2 linked regions of the Neodiprion lecontei genome follow. The protein of the gene in region 2 purifies or fractionates together with the protein of the main gene of each other region. This does not show direct contact. Links are inferred from orthologs where the notes say so. Each region holds a gene or a part of one and is shown on either strand. Other genes may lie near its edges.

The links. Proteins that work in one complex are often made in the same cells at the same time.
Region 1: the proteins of constitutive coactivator of PPAR-gamma-like protein 1 homolog (region 2) and RNA-binding protein 45 purify together in Homo sapiens (co-immunoprecipitation; 3 studies listed by BioGRID and IntAct, with this or other methods). This does not show direct contact. The link is inferred for Neodiprion lecontei from reciprocal best matches to the Homo sapiens genes FAM120A and RBM45.

Annotation. Positions count from the first base shown.
Region 1 is NC_060263.1:36,900,256-36,913,028, forward strand, and holds RNA-binding protein 45, read right to left. Parts: upstream 7,290-12,773; 5' UTR 7,237-7,289; coding exon 7,038-7,236; intron 6,102-7,037; coding exon 5,987-6,101; intron 5,688-5,986; coding exon 4,891-5,687; intron 4,571-4,890; coding exon 4,317-4,570; intron 4,057-4,316; coding exon 3,943-4,056; 3' UTR 3,925-3,942; intron 3,792-3,924; exon of another isoform or gene 2,666-3,791; intron 2,288-2,665; 3' UTR 2,148-2,287; downstream 1-2,147. Other genes in the region: receptor-type tyrosine-protein phosphatase epsilon-like, read left to right, coding at 93-228, 1,466-1,540; 6-phosphogluconate dehydrogenase, decarboxylating, read right to left, coding at 8,484-8,826, 8,969-9,594, 9,787-10,031, 10,606-10,829, 11,366-11,376. UniProt on the Homo sapiens protein: RNA-binding protein with binding specificity for poly(C). May play an important role in neural development.
Region 2 is NC_060263.1:38,265,864-38,275,706, forward strand, and holds the start of constitutive coactivator of PPAR-gamma-like protein 1 homolog, read right to left. Parts: upstream 5,302-9,843; 5' UTR 5,189-5,301; intron 3,865-5,188; 5' UTR 3,638-3,864; coding exon 3,427-3,637; intron 3,314-3,426; coding exon 3,141-3,313; intron 3,052-3,140; coding exon 2,938-3,051; intron 2,603-2,937; coding exon 2,456-2,602; intron 2,270-2,455; coding exon 1,903-2,269; intron 1,788-1,902; coding exon 1,533-1,787; intron 1,402-1,532; coding exon 1,021-1,401; intron 812-1,020; coding exon 776-811; intron 364-775; coding exon 225-363; intron 1-224. Other genes in the region: endoplasmin, read right to left, coding at 6,500-8,138, 8,336-8,942, 9,384-9,467, 9,622-9,667. UniProt on the Homo sapiens protein: Component of the oxidative stress-induced survival signaling. May regulate the activation of SRC family protein kinases. May act as a scaffolding protein enabling SRC family protein kinases to phosphorylate and activate PI3-kinase.

The DNA of each region.
Region 1 (12,773 bases), about 1.4 Mb from region 2:
AGCCGGTATGCTGATAAAAAATGGCAAGAATAGCTACTTATTTCCTTAAGTAGTCTCGCCTTTTTCTGCACCGGAATTGTCGTTATTTTCAGCGATGGCGTCACCGGCTGCGGTCTCTACTTGGCTTTGAGTTTTGTCTTGGAAAGAATGGCCGTCGAACGAGAATGTGACATCATTTTAGCCGTTCGAGCTGTTCGTCGGGCAAGACCGTGTTTTGTGCAGTCTCAGGTAAAGTCAATTCACAATGGACCCGTATACAAAAATTCTCGTCAAAATTACCCCCCCAAGAAAACAAATTGGTTTGCCGATTTGTTTCAATGCTGTCGCCGAAACTCGTACTCGGAGGAAATCGGTCAATGCAGTAAATTCGCCTGACTAGTATTTCGCCGATTCAGTGGTACAATAACAACAAACCGGAAAAACAGTTTTTTCACGATACTTTTCATCACCATGAAAAGGAAACTCTGTTGGTCTGTCCGACAAATTTCTTCGGTGACCTCGAAAACGGCCGAGTGAAAAATCTGAAACCGATAGAACTTGGCAGCTAACTGAAAAATTTTTGAATGAAAAATCGAAAATAATAACTCGAGTCAAATCACTCTACTTGCGTTATTAATTCAAAGAGGAAACACGATTTCTTAGTTCACACGCGATAAAAAATAGAAAAAAATACAAGTTATGATTATCACAAGCTACGAATTTTTCAATACTTGTAAAAATGTCTCTTGAAGAGTGGTGTATTTTACAAAAAAAATTAAAATAATACATGATTTGAAAAAAACATTTTGGGTTTAAAACTGAAAAACTGAAAATGAATTTCGATGTTTTTTCATATTTTCTTCATGAAGTACATCCCAAAATGAATAAAAAGACCTAGCATTTTGTTCTATCTGTTTTTGAAAAAGCTACGAGTACCTATTTAAAAAAAATAGTGCAAAATTTTGAAAAATTTATTCTGATTGAACGGGTTCAGACAAAAATCTTTAAAAAATTCGAAAGACTGCTTTCAGTAGGTATAAAAAAAATAGATTTTCAACGAAATCAAAAATGGTCGGGGCCACGGATTGGTCGGTTTCGTATGGAATGCCCTATAGATTTATCGGTAAAATATTGAAAATCGATTAATTTCCGGAAGAACCGGAAATTCAAATTAAACGGGACATGGCAATTCTTGATGCCCATCACTTGATTGTTAAATCCTGTAAGTTTCAAATTTTTTCGTCAAACCGCTTTCGAGATCATCGCAGGAGCTTGTCGGTCAGACGGACAGAACGACATCCAGACGACATTTTTCTAAAAACCTGTTTTTCGGATATTAGAATTTCAAAAACGTAAAGACTCGTGAAGATCAGAAAAAGCGATTTTCGACCGAAATCAGTACTTTTCTGATATCACCAAAGGTGATGAAAAGTAAAAATCACTAATGCCAGCCTAATGACGCAAAGCATATTTTATTTTATCACAGGAACAATTCGAATACTTGTACAACGCCGCAGCGGAGTACATCAAGTCCTTCGAGACGTACGCTAACTTTGATTGATTTGTCAAGTTACAATCAGCTACAGTATAATAATACTGTCAGTAAATACTACATCAATAAACATACATCATTATACATCACAATTATTTCAACAACAAAATTTTAGATGAAACATATTAGACTGTGGCGTATCGAATACTCAACCGAAAAAAAGACCGAATATACTTAATTTTGTTCCAGCATTTATAATGACTGACCGTTTCAGAATAATGCAAGTTCATACGGTACCATATGCTTAATCACGACATATTTTTGCTGTCGCTGAGAGATATCAAAACCACATAAAAATTTTCTTTTTTCACGAAGAAAAAAATCAGTTGAATTAATGAAATGGACGAACATAGACAGCCGAATAGAAAATTAATCGCTACAACTCAACACTAGTCGACGTATAAGTGACAACTAATGTTTAATTGCAGTATTTAAATATTTATTCGGCCGCCGGTTATCGACGATTTAGTTGATATAACTGATTTTTTTCAGTGTATGATGAATCTGAAATTCAAAAATTATTCGACGAGTAGTTCAAGGTAACAGGTAATATTTTAACGAGGGAGATTATGATACAAGTATCTCTGGGTTGTAAAGACATTCAGAACGCGATATATCACGTATAAATATATACTTTATTTTCATAAAAGGTCATTTTCATTTCAATAATACGTATACTCGTACTAAAAAAAAATGTATATACATTGATTTTTCAAATTTATCACAGTCTTCAGGTACAGGTTTAGCTTGGATTTCCTGCAAATAAAAAACATATTTATGAACATTTATTAAGGGACATTTGATCAACAGTCACGTCAGTGGGAAATCAATTTTCTGCATAAATAAGTGAGTAAGGTCATTGGGAAAGTTTTTATAGAGAATCTGTATTTGATATCTTATGAACAAGTCAGTTACAGTCATGTAATTTGTAAAATGTATCTATCGTATGTAGCATATGATCGTAAATAGAAAATTCAACCGCGCTCAACGTTGCGATTACAAGCTTAACTAGATTTTCAATGTTATCAATGTACGGCAAGCATTTCATTAGTCTCGAGTTAATTGCATCTAATGCAATTAAGAGTAAAAATGCGCAAAGTCATTTCCTGAAATCACATTACTATTCAATCTGACAAACGGTTTATTGTGGCCTGTCTGCCATCCGATTGGCAATTGCTTTGGTGTATTTTATTTTTTTTTTTTTTTTAATACTCTAGTTAGGTATACGACTATGTATAATGAATTTTATAAATTTGTAATAAGAATTCAATTTTCAATCAGTATTTTGTATATTAAAAATAATTAAATATGAAATACTCTGTACGACACGCTTATTAATCGTATTTCTGCCCGTCAGTTAACATTTCTGATTTCAGCATGAAAATCCTTGTTATCAACCATGTACATACGTAGTATTGGTCAAATTCCAATGAAATAACACGTCATAATTAAATATAAAACATTTACCGCGATGCATTTTATAACCAATATAATACCCCTTCAACTCTTGAAATTTGAAAAAAGGAAAATTCTCGCTGGCGCGATTAACTTGATTGCTGGGCCAATTTCAATATACGATGCACTGTGTGAGTATCAAGTATTGCATCAACGTTTGGCCAATGTACATACCGTACTTCGTAATAATTTGTAGTAAAGTAAGACGATTTTCAACGTTAATATTAAACGGATAAAATTGGTCCTGAATAAGAGTACACAGGTATACATAACATATTGAGAGACGGATTTGGATGAAAAGAAAAGATTGTAAGATTGAAATTTTTTTCAAATCTTTTGCAGATTGTTTCTGTTAAGTAGATGTAAAATATTAAATACAACGATGAATAAAAACACACACATACACTTGCACATACACACTCATGTACTGCCCCCCCCCCCCCCTTCTGGTGTCACTATAAATTAATATTATGCCGTTTGTCTATGTCAATTCAGTGAAATCAACTTTGATCTATTCTATAAAACAAAAATATATATATATGTGTGTGTGTGTGTAAATAAATATACATCACTGCTTGCACAGGCCTACTCGGAGCTATGGTATCGAATAAACTGAGCAAAGTGTAGTAATAAGTATGGATAAGTAGAGTAAAGTTAGTTTTCAGTAACGTTTGAGTTTTCCAACGTAAGCGATTGTATAAAAGTAGGTTGAAGTAGTTTCCTTGGCTGCAGGCCCGACGTGGTCAGTGTGTCTTAAAATTCGTCTCATTTGTGGCGTGCGTCCAGCTTGTGTATACCAGTCAGTCTGTGGAGACAAATAGAAACATTACATTTTTTTTCGCTGCCAAGATATAACAACGTCCGACAACATTTACGAGGGTACAAAAAGAAATTCGCAAACGTGCGTTGCTTCGGTCTCGGTGCAATTTGTTACTTACGTGTTGTGTAGAACATCCTCAATTTTCATCCTCGTCCATTCGGAGACGCTTTCGACGATCGTCGCCCACGTTCCTCTCCTCAGCTTCCAACACCTTCAAACGTGATCCACAGATCTCTTGTCCGTGCAGTGTCTACAATTAAACATTAAACTACCTTCGTAGAAAATTTCCCGTTCGAAAAATTAAGCGGTAGATTTCTCTACAACGAAAAGAAAGGTAACACTGTAGAGCAAATGCAAAGCACTTAAGGGCATAACGAATTGGTACAGAAAAATTTACGCATACAGGTCGACATCATTGGTGCTCGAAAAATGATTTAACCACAAGTCTCGGAATTATCAACACACAATATTAGAATACCGTTATCGTAATTAGAAAATTAATGAACTGACCTTAATAGCTTTGTCCGCGCTTTCGGCAGACGCATATTTTGCGTATCCGCAATTTTTTCCAGGAAGCATATACACATCTATCAAGTTCCCAAATCTACAAAAAGCATCTTTCATAGCATAAATTGGAGGCACAGGTGGTCCACACACAATAAAACATCTCTTAGCAATTTCTGCATCAATACTAGCCATTGGCTCAACGGGTGGAAGTTTTATATTCACTGTATGTTCCAAACCTGTAACCAACGGACCAACACCTGTTTCGTGCGATAAAATTCGTATTAAAAACAATGCTTTGACACTTGGCAACTTAAACTAATCTTAATATAGAAAATGTAAAGTAAAACGTCTACAGACTGTCGACTTTGATCTCACATCACATACTCATTCTCAATGAAACTTAGGCCCATTCAAAATGTGGCGTATTTTTTGCTAGACACTAATTTTCATAATTTGAACCAATAATAATCATATAAATGTTAATGAAAAAGGAGCAATTTTACAAAGTTACCGTTAGTTTCTGATATCAAGTATTTTGAATGTGAAATTAGTTTGATATTCTGGGATTCATACTTACTTGGTGCCGTAAGACCAGCAGCTTGAATCAATGATGTAGCTTGGGCAATAGTTTCAGCCAAGTGAGCTAAATCTGTTCTTGTGCCAGCTATACCAGATGAATTGGAGGTGCCAGGTTTAGCTGTACTTCTCTGAGGACTTCCACCAGTCACATCAGGTTTTACAATCATTCTGTGACCGGGAGGATATTCGAAACCGTGAAACTTTTCCCTAGCGTAAGCAGCAGCACTGGAATTTGAGTAAACCACCGTCGCTTGCCCTCGCGGCATTCGATATCTCATGTCCATTTTCAAATGACAGTAATCTAAGCCAGGAACAATGTCAAAAAGTCTCCAAAGCTGGTCTTGATTCAAGGCCGGATGTGCTATGACCTGTAATCGAGTATAACCTTCTGCATTCGGATAATTAGTTGCAATCTCCAGGCTGATGCTACTTTTGCCAAAATTACTGGTGCCGTATCCTCCTCCATGGCTATCATAATTTGCAGAGATACCATTGTTATATTTTAAATCGCTATGATCCGGTTTGGGCTTCTTTGGCTCAGCAAAGACAGCTTTGTACTTTCTGTCACACTCTTCGAATGCCTTAGCTGCACTTGATACCTTTCTGAATTTGACATAGCCGAAACCTTTCGATTCATTTGTAATCCTGTCCTTGACTACCGTTACGTAATCAATAGGACCAAATTTAGAAAATTCCTGCTGCAGTTCTCCATCAGTCATTGACTTTGGTAGCACACAAAACAAACGTACCCACCTCTCCTCCTCGTTTGTTTCTCTGACAGATCCTTGGTCTCGGCTGAAAATACATTATGCAAAACTTTATTTCACTTCATCTTATTCAAAATATTATTACAGCTGGATAGGAAATATTTGTCCCATTATTCATCTCGTACAGTTCACGATGACTTGTACAACAGTATTTTCAGAGTACAATAAAATTTTCACATGTTAAAATTCACTTCGTACAGATTCAACTTACAGCATTCTTACAAATGTTCAATATTTAACTTTTGCACGTAATGTTGATGAAAATTCATCTAAAATTTTCATGTTAGTTAACATCACTTTCAAGTAGCATAGCTTTATTATACTCACTTAGATGCGATCATAACTTTAATTGGTCGACCAACGCTTCCCAACATTTTTCCATTCATTTCTTCCAATGCAAAAGCAGCTTCCGATGTCTTCGAAAACTTAATATATGTGACCCCTGCACAAAGTAACACAATAAGAATATGAAATTATTGCAAAGAAAACATCTTGATACCTTAAATTTATTTTAAGGTCGATCAAACGGATTTTTAAACAATTTTTAGTTGATTGATTCATTTGTTTTCTCTCTCATCTTTGGATTTCCAGTCTATGTTAATTCAAAGATATTACGTCTATCAAATATAAGCAAGACTCATAAATAGATCAACTTCCAAGAGAGAAAATCGGTAAACTTAGTTGTTAAATTTGTGGGTGGAGTACAGTATTGAAGATAATTATGCTCATCTGATAAAAGGTCAATTTCTAAGAAAGTAGAGTCGACATTGAAAACTCATGTATGGATGACACCATTGTATGCAATCTCTACATTTAAATTATATGCATCTGATTAATTACAGGTGATGTTTTGAAGACGTTTAAATTTCGTAAGACATTGTTTGAGGGGATCAGTTGCTTTGTAACAATAAAATTACGTTATCAATAAAATCTCCAGGGCACAGTAGGGTTGTGCGAGATAAAAATTCGTATGCAGTGAAAAGCTTCTCATAAAAAGATGATACAATGCATAAAGGTTCAGTATTGGATAATTTGGATAAACTAAAACTAGTAAGATACGATATAATATCACGTGATCTGAGCCATATGTGCAAATAGGATGCATAATTTGGAGGTTTGGTGCCGAAATCACGTTGTGTAAGTATTAATTAGCGGAAGTTCTAAAACTGGTCGAAAAGTTTAGAGGCTAGCCACACTAGGTACTATAGTTATCGGTAAACGCCGGCGGCATTCGAACAGAAGTTTCCGATTGCATTCAAAACGCAGAACAGTTGGGATGAAAATACTGAGAGGTGAAAATATGCAATTGGTGAAATGACATGATATGTAAATAACCGAAAATGAGACGCTAGTGAAAGTTATTGATTTATCCAATTACCCTTGTTTTCCCCAGTGTTTCGATCCTTAACAACCCAAATATCTTCAATTTTTCCAAACTTTTCGAACGCCTTCCTGAGGTCATCTTCCTCCAAACTTTTATGACAGATTACAAACAATCTTGAATTCGGTGGGTCGTCGTTCTTCGAACGCGGATCCGACTGAGAATAATACGCCTCGCGGTCTCTGTGATCAGCCATTTTACTAGTGAAATGTGAATATACTGGCTGCGGCTGCTGTTGCCTGCCTTCCACGCTGCCAACGAGAACTAAAATTCAACGACTTCAGGGCCGACACATCAAAGGCAACACGTAACGGTACAATTTATGTGACACATGTGTTACATGAAACGTGATGTACCATCGCTGAGTCTACGACTTCGGCTCCGTATTTCATCCCTTCAATACCATTCACGCATCAAACTGCCGACAGTTTTTACAACGGTAAACCGGAGATTGTTATCACTTACAATCAGTTAAAGCTGCCGGGTACCCGGTTTGCTCGTGACAGTGTTGTGCGCGTTATGTGCCATCGATTACAGGTCGTGTAATTTTGGTACCGGTCAGAAATATGCGCAGATATGGAATAATTTATTATATGTACTGTAATGAAAGCGATAGAATATACAATAGATGGTAAAATTTAATTACTTCTCTTGCGTAGATACTTAATGAGATTCGATTCTTCAGCTGAAATTAGCCTTATTACACCTAGGTTAATTATTCTTTCAGCGAACTTATCAACTTGTTGCTTTTCTCATTACAAAATTTCGGGATTTAGACTTATACCGTTATTCGGCGAAATGATTGTGTCATCTGTATGCGCGCAACGGGGCTTATAGGCTGGACACGCAAAAATGTTGCAGGGCGTAGAAGTAGTAAGAATAAAACAGTTTTATTCAGTTGAACAACGTTTCGATTAAAATTTTCACTTTTTCCGCTTCCATACGCTGATCTGATTGACTTTAACTGATTTTCGTACTAAAATTATATTGCAAACAAATGTTTCATACATTGATCTATTTTGTTACAATATTATAATTTAAATGACTATCGCAAAATGTACAAACTTATGAAACAACTATAATATGTATTCGTAATGTATTCGGAATGTTGCAACAGTCTTAAGAGTAATAAACGATACCGTATAAATATTTCCTATGCCGATTATTTATTACTCCAAGTGCCCTAAATGTAGCCGTTACAATCCAAATTTCATACAAAGTGCACTTGATTTGATTTACGACGAAAAAAAAAAGATAGAAATTTGTATCCTAAAACGATTGCAGAAAAATAAAACCACCTCATTTCAGCAATCGTAACTGGTGACAAACCCGCATCCGTAAAATGACAGGGAGAATAAAAGCTAACCGGTAATTGTCTTGCATGACGGAGAGCCCTTTCTCTTTTGGTATGAACAACTACCAGCGCTGTTCATAACTCGTTATTTACGCGTCATAGGTAGACGCAGATACATTGCCTCCGTGGCCTGTCCAGTTAGTATGAACAAATTTTCCTTCCGCGCCAAGTAGCTCATAAGTGTGGGCTCCAAAGTAATCACGCTGAGCCTGCAGTAAGTTTGCAGGAAGACGCGCTGTTCTAAACCCATCGTAAAATGCTAAGGCAGTCGACAGAGCAGGAGTCGGTATTCCAAGAGTTACAGCTGTTGCCACCGTCACTCTAGCACTCGCCTGGCACTCCTTCATTGCTTTCGCGAAGAAATCATCAAGCAACAGATTGGTCAGCTTTGGATTCTTGTCGAAGGCTTGCTTGATGTTTCCCAAAAAGGCGCTGTAATCATAATCCATAATACATTGATAACCATTTTCGTACGTTTACCTTCATTTAGGATGATGATTTTTCTTTCAAATTGGATCGGGCCAATTCGTGGCATCTACAGAGAGGGTGGCAATCAATTAAAGAATTCTCTCACCTTCTGATGATACATCCACCTCTCCACATGAGCGCAATTCCACCATAATTCAAATTCCAGTTGTGAATTTTAGCAGCTTCTCTTAGCAGCATGAATCCTTGAGCATACGAAATGATTTTCGAAGCATACAGCGCTTTCCGAAGATGTTCGAGGAATTGCTTTTTATCTCCTTGGTAAACAGCGTTTGGACCCTCCAAAACGGTGCTAGCTTCAATCCTCTCACCTTGGAGCGAGGAGAGACACCTTGCAAACACTGATTCTCCAATTAGCGTGACAGGAATCCCGTAATCCAAGGCAGCGATAGCCGTCCACTTTCCTGTACCCTTCTGCCCAGCTGTGTCTCTGATTCTTTCGAGAAGATAGCCCTTCCCATCCTTGTACTTCAAGATATCTCGGGTAATTTCAATTAGGAAAGAATCAAGCACCCCCTTGTTCCACTCGCCAAAAACGTCACTCATTTCCTGTGGGTTCAGACCAAGCCCGTTTCTCATGATGTGATAAGCTTCGCAGATCAGTTGCATGTCTCCGTACTCTATACCGTTGTGAACCATTTTCACAAAGTGTCCAGCCCCTGTCTCTCCGACCCAATCGCAACATGGCTCACCGTTACTCTTGGCGCAGATCGACTGAAATATTCGTAGTGTATTAACATTTCGAATTACTGTCCCGAATGTAGTTTATATTCATGATTCTCTGAGTAGTGACAGCAATAATTTTATGACAAAGAGTCAAGACGCTAGACACACAAATTTTTTTGAGGCAATTTCCAACTATAAATAAAGCAATATCTATTCGCCTAGCCCTTGATTGGCAATTACCTGGAAAATAGGCTTGATATGAGGCCATGCTTTGGGATTGCCACCTGGCATGAGGGATGGCCCATACCTGGCCCCATCCTCTCCTCCACTAACGCCACTGCCAACGAAGAGGATCCCCTTCTTCTCCAGTTCCTCCGTACGCCTTTGAGTATCTTGGTATTCAGAATTACCACCGTCAATAATGATGTCTCCCAATGACAAAAGTGGTACCAGTTTATCTATAAACCCATCGACAGCTGGACCAGCTGGAAATAGAATACAAGTGTTATATGTTGTATTAGCTGTATTAACTGTTATGTGCTGAAGGCTTTGAAGTTACAGCAGACATTTTTTCGCACAATTTAATATTTCATAGAGTTTGATTGGTACCGAGATTTAGTGATATTAAAAGCCGGTTAGTGCTTTATTGTTACAATAATGATGCTTTCTGCTTGCTGACGGAAGAATTTCGCACATATGATTCGAATTCAAGGTGTATAAGTTTCACCTCGATGGGTATTTTTTGAGAGTTTCAAGCAATCTTACATAACAATCATGATGTAACTGAAAACATTCTAGCCATTGAGATTACTAAGTACATTAGCATTATCATAATTTAAGCTCGATACGAATTGTAAATGTGACTTTGTGACGTCATGTGCATATATGTAGACAAAAAACAACGTTTTAGCGATATCCTTAGAATTCAAGTGATTTTTAGGCTTGAATGTCATCAGCACTAATGTTTTCAGAACTACGATTACTGCCTTTATTAGAGCTGGTTATATGTTCATAATTTTTCCATCATGATACTAAGATCTGTTATAAAAGGATACGAACCTTTGACTAACAACATAATACGACGTGGCAATTTTAGCTTGGAAACCATTTCCTCCAAGCTAAAGGCACCCACTACTTTGGTGCCTTTGGCTTCATTTTCTAAGAACGATTTCACCTTATCTGTCGTACGATTGTAAGCGCAAACGACAAACCCATGGTCGTTCATGTTCAGGATCAGGTTTTGTCCCATAACGGCAAGACCGATAAGGGCAATATCAGCGACACTGTAAAAAGATGAGAATGACAAGATTGAGCATGAACAAAAACTGTACATTTGTGGTTCATTCGGCATTCAACAAGATATGTAAGAAAATTAGAACTTTCAAAACAAATTCAATCAAAAGATAGTGTAAAATTTATTCAATAAATGGTGATAAACAATTTTTGTGTTCTACGAAAATTTCTAATTGTGAGTAGTAGTAACATTGCATGGCAGATAAATTACTGCATTCGTCATTGACTGCCCTTGAGGTAGCCCGGATATTACAGTGCTGGACTATGACCGACATTTCGGATATACGATTATCTTTGATTACTAGTAGAACATGGCGTTTCGTAATGGTGTAGCGCAACATGAACAGGAACTGTGATTCGCGCGGGAGGTAAATGTACGGAAAACGTTGCATTAAAGTAGGTCAAACATGTGAAAGACGATTATTAAAGCTACGGTTCGCGACTGCCGCCGGCTATTAAATGCATGATCGTGCACTCCGATTTTCCTAGTAATTACCTGTAGTAGCAAGTAGTAATCGTTACTTACGGCTCTGTCATGATGGTGATTTTTCTGTAGAGAGCACGAAACAGGTTAAACCTCCGCCGAAGCAAGTGTGTAACTAGCAACAAGTGGCGTATACGACGAGCGTCCGTCGGGCAAAGGACGTCTTGGGTTATGAACGGATCGGGCCAGAGCCGAGTTAGTAATTCAGTCAGACCACCGCGTAAGAGCCAATCGGCGAACCAGCGAGGTCAGCGTTAACTTTCAATTATCTCACCGTTAACTATCGAGCCACGATTTGTGAGAGTGATTACGCCATCAGTTCCTATCAAAAATCACTTCCAAGTAAAATTTGAAAGTCACGCTCCACAATTACACCCGATTACGCCCGACATCGATTAGTTGACGAGTCAGTGGGTCGGGAGAATCGATTGTTGGTTGATCTCACGCACTGGGTGCGATTTTCTGAAATTTCCTAACTCTGGTAGATAACACTTCGATTTTACTTTAATACTTCAACAATTGGATGAAGAGATATTAACTCGTACTATACTATAGGCTTACAACAGTAGGTTAGGATTTTGACAGTTCAATTAAGTCTGCGATGTCATCAATGTAAGTCGTGCAACCGACATACGGCGACATCTGCAAGCATGTGTCGGCCAGGGTCGATACGTGGTGCTTTCTTTTTCTTTGCTTTTCATTCGTGTTAATACACCAACGTACTTATAAATACGCAAATCTTGAACCTTTTATTTTCGACTTTCAATTTGTACGATCGTTTTATCTTGTTAACGGTGATTCATCGCTGAGCAAAAGTCTATGAAAGAAGGTGGCAACATTTGAATCATCGCCTGGCGTGCTGAGCGATGGCAATCCAGCAACAGACTCGTCATTTGAGTTGTCTATCACAAGGCGCTGCCCACACCATTCAACCATAATTCGCGTTCCGATTCTTCGTAAATTCATTTTGGAATTTTTATTCTTAAAAAATGTACGAACGCCCTTTTTGTACTCAGGAAATGAGTAATGGAAATAACTGAAATGACGTAACATGTTTTCTCATTGCATTTCACCACATTTGCCACATCCAATGGAAGAAAGATTTCTGCAAACCGAAAACCGGAAGCAGGTTGACCAGATGGTTCAATTCCGAGGAAGCATTCTACCAAGGTGACAAATTTCTGATAATCAGCCGTGTACGTCAGCCGGAATCATCAGTGCGTAAACGGTATATATGCAGACCACATAACGCGAGGATTACGCGGGTGAATACATTTCTCGCGTCTGCGCACAGACTACAAAGGTCGTGGCCACTCAGTGATCAGAAACCCTGCATAACGTCATCGTCCGGAGTTCTTCCCAAAGGGGACTGGTTGTTCTTTTGGGTCTGAGGAAGTACAAGAGAAAGTGCAATATGTCGGGGTTTACTTTGGCCTCGTTGAATTAGAGC
Region 2 (9,843 bases):
TCGCCTCAAATTACAACATCAACACAAACATCAGTGGACATACCTATGATGCCCATGGGAGCTGCAACGAACGAGTATGTTGGATGGATAAAGAAGCTAAACAATAATTCTGTACTTCATGAGGCCCTGACAATTTTGAAAGTCATGTTTTTTTGTTTTTCATGTTCAGCTATGCCAATCACTATAACAGAAAATGAGGCTACGTATCAAATATCCATACTCACCCAAACCATAAACGCTGTATTGTAGGAACACCCCATCCAATTTGCTCAGCTTTTACCAATTCGGGTGTCTGGTAGCAGTTCGTTTTTGACCACACCCATTCTTTGATCACGACGTCAGGTACGTCCACTTTTTCGTTATCTGTTACGATAGTTGAGAATAAAAATTGGTAGCTGTACTGTCGGAAAACTTTTTAGATAAAGAATGATTTCATGATTTTGATTTTGGAAAGTAATACCGAAATGGGTTGGGAAAATTTTACACAACTATCGATCATGACTACCAGGAAGTTGCAATATCAGAAAAACTAGGACTAAATCTGCATCCACCGAAACATAGGAACTGTGTTGAAAAGTAGTTTATTTATACATGCTTGTTACCATAAGCTTATTCCACGAATTGGATATATCGTTGGGTGATGGTAATTTGGAAAGGTAAATGAATGCTAAATGCTGAAGTTGATAGTCTAATGACACATTGCTTGTCCAAACCTAATAAAACTCAATAATAAATAATCTAATTGCCATGCGGTAGAGGAATAAATGGTGATTACTTTTCTTGCCTGGTCTTCTATTCTTTCCTGCGGCCTCTAATCAAAATTTTTATGGATATAATGAATATCGTGAATGTGACATAAATCTTCCTGTAAGAAGTTACTGAAAGTATGCTACAACTCGTTAGATTTTACACATTACTTTTTTCAGTGACGAGGTACTGTTAGCAATTACTAGCCCTACAAATGTTCCTCAAGTTCAGATTGTTATCATAGATTAAATTTTTTTGCGAAAATTGACTTACCGCCTTTCTCCTTGTTCTTTGTGGCGAGGTATATGCGGTGGTGCACATTGAACAAAATGGCGTAAACCATTTGCCTCACAGGTCTGTAGATCAAGTGGATGGATGGGAATTCCTTGTGACTTTCATCCTCTAACAGAACTGGCAATTTTAGTTCTCCGGCGATCAAAATTTGGTATATATGCGGAGACATCAGTCCTTTCTGATGTCGTTCTGAAGCTGTACGCATAACTTCCGGAACAGTGCTGGGAATGCTTGTTGTTGATTCAGACTGTTTAGTGGAATCTATCGTAATATGCGAGGGAGATGTAGCTGTTGAACTACTACTCGAGCTCGAAGAACTGATCAGTAGATTATGAGTACCATTTATGGCATGGCCATTGTCTGTCAAAAAGGAAAAATGTAGTAATCAAATTAGATCAGAACGCGTAATGAAATATTTTCTATTTATCAACTCCACGATGTTTGGCGTCTAATTGAAAATTTAATTCACATAACTGCTAGTTTAGACTTACTCTGTTCTTCTTCGGTTCGGTTATTATCAGCATCTCCATGTCCCTGAATTCCTGGTGGTTCAATTACGATTTGCGGAGCAGCTTGGGCATTCGCTGTTGCTTGTTTGTACGCTTGCAAGCTGTCACGTTCACTCTCTAAAGTCTCTGATGCGAAACGTGATGTTTCTAAATTAGCATCGTCTTCAGAGGTTGTTGATGGAACCTCTGCTATATTTTTCTGAACTGGTATATTTTGCTTAGATTCGGACTTGCGAGCTGTACAGAATATTAAAAATGTAGGAACTACATTGTTTTGGTAATGAGATAAGTGAATGAAACATGTCATAGAACTTCTGGCAACATTTTGTTACAGAAAATCTTCGTCAATTACCTTTAGCTGGTTTCACTGGCTTATAATGTAAAAATCCTTCTTTGGTTCCGTTAATGTAGTACTGTACAGACTGTCTGAGTTTAACACATCTTGGGTCAGATAGAGAGCCGAAAACATTTTGTGCTACAACATCCAATTCAACAGAATGCAAATCTTTTACAAAATTAGCCACTGTTCTGACTAGTTGTTCAGCTGTTACTTTATTTGGGTTAGTGTTCAAGTTTAGTTTTTTGTAAAAGTCTGCTAAATCTTGTTCCGTAAGTAAATAATTGCCGAGCAATGCAGTCAAGGTGCAAAGTCTCTCTGATGGCAGATTGAGCGACTTTGTGAATTCAGAGATGATGTATTCTTTTGTTTCCAAGGAACCCTATAATGACAAAAACAACCTTCGTAGTACATGTGAGGTATAATAATTCGATACAAAATTTGCAGTTTGCTTTAAAAATCAACCAGCAGCTACCAATAGTTATTTGCGATCAAAAATATCAACCAATTCTATAAAAATCATTCTTAAATTATGAACACCGAATTAGTTAAAATGAGTATTGAATACCTTGTAGGTTAATTTCAATTGTTCCGACGAAAAATACCTCGGTGGATCAAATGCGGCATATTCGGCATCATCGGCTATCAATCCGTTGAAATAATTTTCACGGCAATAGGCGATAACTTCTTGGTGATGATCATCCATGCTGCACAACTGTTCAGTTAAGAGAAAAAAGAAATGGATTCCCTCAATTAGACGACAGTTATCAATAAGCGTCCTCTGTTAGAAATACTAATCATATCAACCCTTGCAATAAAATTTACAAAAATATTTTACAACTTCTCGCATCAGCTGTCCTCCGGTCGTTCAGACGTCTTTAAAAACGTCGTGATAAGAAAAGACATCCTGATATATATTTTGTGGGTTTAACACATCTTGGAATACTAAAAATAGCTCATGATTTGACGCTTTTCGACCAAACTTATCATTTTCTGTATTTGAAAAGTGAGTTATATTTTGCACAAGATGTATTAAAAATAAGCTCTTACCACTGCAACATTCAAGTGCCGGAGTGCCATGCGAAGGCTGGTCCGTAGACAGACTGGTGGTGTCCACCAAATTTTTGGAGGAGGCGTTCCTTTGGTTGTGATGTGTTTCAAAACCTATAACAGAGATTGAATTTACATCCAATTTATATGCATGTATGTTAATGTGATTCTATTTCATAAAATAAATTGGGTAAGACACTTACATTGTTAACTTTTATTCGAACTTTCAATTGCTGCTGAATCCAATCAAGGCGTCGAGGAGACTCCAAGGATCCATTGAAAAACACAGCCAACTCTACTCCAGACATTTCTGTAGCTTGTGTCAACACTGCTAGGAATTGTACCATCCGGTTCCATTGACCACCGCAAGCCCAGTCTAAAATGTGAGTGCAGAGGTCACTTTACTTTACCGACTGACGACTATCAAGTTTTTTTTTTTTTTAAGAATTCGTTCCAGTTCAATCAAATGAGTTTGGGGAGTGATTTTACCTGAGAAATAGCCGCCGTACAATCTGTCCAGACAACATTCTCCATCAAGAACTAATCTGAGTTTGGACGATGGTGACTGTTGTTGTCCCTTTCCAGAACGATTGCGTTGTCTCTGAGCGACGTTACGAGCGATTCTCAGTAAGTCTACAGGTACCGAGCCACCTTGAATGGCATTGCTGTCCAAAAATGCTTGTAAATCTTGTATACCCATTGCAACAGGTTTTTATTCCTCTTTACAAAGAGAGTATTTGTTTTTATTCAACTTTACTTTACACTGTTTAATGAAATGTTACTATTTTTTTTTATCTTGATATTTTATTTTTCAGAGCCAACAATTCATTAATTTCTTTTACTTTTCTCTAGATTATATATTCTTAGATTTTCAATGTTTTCCTTTAATAGGTAGAAAAGTCCAACTCCAATTTCAACAGTCGAAAGCTGAAAAGAAAAAATCAAAATGTCACTTATATGTACTTCATTTTTAGATTTGTGACTGATATTTTAGTCAAAATTATGCTTTGAGAATATTTGTTTTACGCTCAAAGCTTTGATTATTCTTGCCGGCATATTAAATCTCATGCACTTTAGTATCAGGCAGCAACTTGATCCTAAATATCTGAAGCTTCTGCATAATCAAATCTCTCGTGTAACTTAATCGGACATCAACCGTCCTTCAAAATGCTACAAACTATTAGCTATATTTCATTAACAGTAATATATCAGACAACGTTGCATCTCATTATTTAAAACTACGAGTACCTATTTTAGATCCAATTATTCGCTCAGTAACTTTACACCTGGCATCTATGAGTTGACAATTGAATCGAAAATAGTTGTAAGAATTAAAAGTATCTCTAAATTATAATATTTCGTTGAAAGTGATCTAATTATTACATGGAAAAAATTGAGATCAGAACGGGAGTAAAATGAACATAATCATGCAATCAGGACAAGTTTAATTTTTACTTGTGATCAACGGCTAGCACAGAGGTTTAGAACAATTGGTGTGGTTTTATTCCTCCCAGAAAAAAGCATAATAATAATAGTTGAGAGATAAATCTTCATCTAATAAATTTTAGTCACTTTGACTTCGGCCGAATTTCATGAAAATCTAATACGCTGAAAAACGCGTGGGAACATCGAACATGAAATGGTTCGCATAAACTCTGATTGCTTTATTATTGTCAGTCTCTTGACGGCTCCTGGTAGAGCATGACGTGGTTTATTGCCGAAGTTCCGTGAAATAGAGGTTTTAATTTGATTACCCAATATAGGAGTGAATGAGCCAAGATCCGTCAAGCTTGTCGGCATATGAATCGGGACGTTCCGTTTAGAAGTATAAAATAATGCGAAAAAAGATGTGCATTACGTTCGGACATTTGCAGAACAGTCGAGAATAGTAAATTTTCCATTCTGCATTGTGTCCGAAGAAGCGTGACTAGAGACGCCATTTATTTTGTTTACGTGTACAGCAATGCTGTTTTCATCGACACAAAGTATAACATGTCATGAATTATTTTACCGTTTAAAAGAGGCGAGCCGAGCTCGAAACAAGTCCCATTATTCGAAGTAGTATATCAACGTTAAAAACGGTCAACATTAGCTAGGAATTTCCTCGCCGGCATGGTGAAAACGGCATTTTAGGTAGCAGAATCTCTCAAAGAACAAGCTCGTCTAGTTCAACATGTGGGCTGCTATTTGGTTTTCGTTTAGCTGAGCGACTTAGGGCCTCGATTATCGCAGTTATTTGTAACATACTTACGTTAAATTAGCGAAAATCATTGTGGCTCCAAAGAAACACAAAACACACGGACTTTGACTATGGTTGACGTCGGGTTCGAAAACGGAAATGTACTCGGGCACGCTCAGCCAACTTGTCCCGTTACACTTTGTTCCAGTGGAAAAGTTCGTCGCGATTCGTCCGATTTAACGGAAATTCAAAATGTCCGACGGATGCCTGAGACGCGTCTTGTTTTCAAACACGGCGTTGAATAACGAATTCTTTTATTCCTTACAACAATAATAACAAATCAATTGTTCATCACGCCTAGCAGCAGCTGCGTTTGTGTCTGTCTCGCATTCAAGTTTTCATTTCAATCAGCTCTAATAACAATAACAATAATAATAAAATGAACATATGAATATGCCCGCAAATTTCAGCACGGATCGACGTTGAATCCTTGAGAAATATTAACACATCTCAAAAACGTAATACATAATATTCCGATTTATAAATTCAACACGGATATTATAGTTTTATCGTGAACGAACAATGGCAGACGCGAATGCCTTGATTTAAGATTTTGCGAATCAAATAACGTCTACATACCTACAGAAATCAATATCATATATGCAGATCGCATGGTATACGCAAGTAGGTAATTTTTCTTACATAGAAAATTCTATAAATTTTCTTATTTATCATCAAAAAGCATATGTGTACGTTAGAACAATATAACGACGTAGATATGATGAAGTGATTATACACTGTTATAAAAGTCCGGGGACGAGTTAAATTGAATAATGTTTTTATTTATTTTTTGTACAAATTACACTCACACATTCTCACAAGCATACACAGGATCTATACGACACGCAATTGATATTTGCGCGATTACTACACACGAAGTATGGTGATGGAAGAACAAAAATAAATTAAATGCATTGCGTTTCAACAACTGGTATGAAAAATTTACCAATGAATATGTTATAACGATCCTACCTTGATATTCTGTTATAATCGAGCATGACAGGCAACTATAAACAATTGCGATGCTATGTATCACGTATGCAGCTTGTCACTATACGGAATATCAAGTCTCACATTTTCTCCGTCGACCTAGATTATTGCTAATAATAATCCAGCTACACATCTTTTACGAATAAAAAATGAACAAATCAAAGGGCAAAAAAAAAAAAAAGTTCAAATTAAATCCTACTGCAAAATTTTTGACTCTTTTGCATGTAAAAATTGTAACGTTATGTTATTTATTTGAAGCTGCTATACATTGTATAGCTTACTTCGAAGATTTGAAAGTCTTTCCTTTTAATATCTTAAAGCTAAGAAATTTCTTTACAGTTCGTCGTGCTCTTCGTCCTCCTTTTCTTCATCAGCGTCAAGTTCTGACGCCTTTTCAGTCTCAAAAGTGGAATCCTCCTCACCATCTTCTTCTTCTTCCGCTGTCTCGGACAGTGGAATTCCCAGAGTCTTTCTCATTAGCTGTTCAACACTCAACGCGAAGTCCGAAGTCTCCTTTAACATGTAGCCGGATCGCAAAGTCGCAGTTCTGAACATCATAACAGCAATATCCTTTGCCGCTGGATCACTTGGATCTTCCTCAACTCTGCGTAACAGCTCGCGGATCAGTGGATGTCTTGGATTTATTTCCAAAGTTTTCTTCTGATTCAAGTAGTACGATTTTTGTGGGTCGTCCGCCTTCTGATGAGCATTTGATATCGCTAATCTCTCCATGTTTCCGGTCCATCCAAACATGCTCGCTACCAACGCACAGGGCGAGTCTGTCAGACGTTCGGAAACCTGTGCCTTGCTGATCTGATCCTTGAGTGCCTCGTCGTTCAGCCATTTGGTGAGGGGTTCAAAGGTGGTTTTGTACTCCTCAAGGCGCTCCTTGGCCTTGTTTCCTTCGTCAAGGGTGAATCCCTCCTTGGCAACGTTCTGGAACTTCTTACCGTCGAACTCTGGAAGTGAGGAAATGGCGTACTCGTCAACGGCTTCAGTTAGGTACAAAACCTCGTAGCCCTTCTTTAGAAGTCGCTCAACAAACGGAGACTTCTCTACTTCGCCACGCGATGATCCAGCAATGTAGTATATGTGCTGTTGCTGCTCCTTCATTCGGGATACATAATCTCCTAGAGACGTCGTTCCTTTTTGGTTGGAGGACTGGAAGTGGAGGAGTTTGGATAGTCTGGCACGATTGCTGGCATCTTCAATGACCCCCAGTTTCATGTTTGTACTGTATTCTTTCCAGAACTTGTCGTAGTCTTCCTTGGGGATCTTCTTTATCATATCCAATACTTTCCTGATCAGTTTCTTCTTTATAACTTTGATCAATTTGTGCTGCTGCAGGGTCTCACGCGAGACGTTAAGTGGCAGATCATCGCTGTCTACAATACCTCGAATGAATGATAAATAATTTGGCATCATGTCATTAAATTCGTCCGTAATAAACACACGCCTGACAAACAGTTTAATATTATCTCCCTTGGTGCCATACTTATTAAAGCTATCGCCAGGCTGTACCTTAGGAATGAACAACAGAGATTTAAACGTAACTTCACCCTCAGCAACAAAGTGGGTTTTGGCCAAAGGATTGCTGGTATCTTTTGTAAGTGCCTTGTAAAATTCGTTGTATTCGTTGTCCTCAACCTCGTTTGGTTTTCGTGTCCAGATAGGTTTGGAATCGTTCAGGATTTCCCAGTCCCAGATAGTTTTTTCAACAGTTTTAGTTTTTGGCTTATCATCCTCGGATGCTTCCTCGACCTTAGCATCATCCTCCTCAGATTCGGTCTTATCATCTTTTTCAGTCTCCTCGTCTTTCGTAATTTCATCCTCATCAAGGGGTTCTTCAACCTTCATAGTCTTACTGGCCCACAGGTAGATAGGGAAGTTAATGAATTGAGAGTATTTTTTCACTAAGTTCTTCAGTGTATCAGGTTCCAAAAAGTCTGCAGCTTCGTCCTTCAAGTGCAGGCTGTAATTGAAAAGATAGTAGTATTAGAAAAAATTGTCATTGAAAACTAGAAATTAGGGTTGTTCCAAGCTATAGTATTTGAAACATTGAAAAATAAAGTAAAGTTAGAGAAATAGGTAATACGCAGAAAAAACAAATTTTGTTAATAACCAGTGATTTTAACTGTTTGCATTGCAATTTATAATGAAAATGCTTACCTAATTGTCGATCCTCGCTTGAGGGTATCACCTCGTGGATCTTCACCAATGCTATAGCTGGTGCTGTCAGATTCCCAGATCCATTGCTTATCGTCGTTGTGTTTAGATGTAACTACGACTCTGTCAGCTACTAAAAATGAGGAGTAAAATCCAACTCCAAATTGGCCGATCATATCGTTCATGTCTTGTGCGTTAGCAGTGTCCTGTAGTTTTCCCAAAAACTCTGCAGTCCCGGACTTAGCGATAGTTCCAAGATTGTTGATCAGGTCGCTCTTGGTCATACCGATGCCCGTGTCTGTGATGCTAAGTATCTTATTCTCTTTGTCAGCCTTGATCCTTATGGTCAATTCATTGTTAGTTTCTAATACATTCTTGTCTGTCAATGAGAGCAATCTTATTTTGTCCAAAGCATCAGATGCATTGGATATCAATTCTCTAAGGAAGATTTCTTTGTTGCGGTAAAGGGAATTGATGATCAGTTTCATCATACGATTTACTTCAGTTTGGAATGTAAACTTCTCCGCTTTGTCTCGAAGCTCCTTAAGTTGTGCAACATTTAACGTATCAAGTTTAATCGCTTCCTCTTCTCTTTGCACAACTTCATCATCTGGTAAAAAAACAACAATACTTTGTTAGACTTGGAAGATAATGTAAGAATTGGAAAAATATTTTCTTCTCACAACAGTGCCATCAATGTGTTCAGTTCATTATAAATTTTGCATATATGTTTATTGACTCGAGGAGTTTCATTATTTTTCTTATAATCGTCACCTTATTTTGATGTTTTTCACATAGACTTTACACAAAAAATAAATGAAATACTGCATTACATCGTTAAACAGAATGTTGGTTACTTTTCACAATGAGAAGAGACTGATAAGTGCTGTGACAAAATATGGTTTAACATGCCACCATCTGTCGCAACATAACAAGATATGCCGTACAGAAACTGCGTATACAAATAATATAAAAGATCGGAATACAAGTAAGAAAATGGAAGTAAAAACATCAGGTAACATGAGAGTAATACAATGAAATAATGCATTACCTGTTCTCGATCCCTCCCGACTTGATCCGAGGTCATTTTCGACGGTTCCAACATCATCAGCGGGATCCTCGGCCCGGGCGAAGCCTGAAAAGCAATATATATAATCGTTAATATTTGGTTGAACGTAGGAAGAGAATTATGATGGATGCTTTTCGAGATGATCAGAGTAGAAATGAGCCACGAATAGTTCACGATTGATTTAATTAATGCGAGTCAGAACAACGAGGAAATAATTTACCGGCGACCAAAAGAAGCCCGACAACGCAGAGGAAAAACTTTTTCATCGCTCCCTCCTAAGCAGCAGAACAAACCGGTGAAAAAACACACAAAATACAAAACGCCTCGTTGGCACGCTGTGTTCTCTTTAATTGCTTCTCGCCGACTGTCACAGACTCAGAGTTGAAATGGAATTTAGCAAGATGCGAGTTTCGGGTTCGGCCAATGGCGTTCGACCACGCAG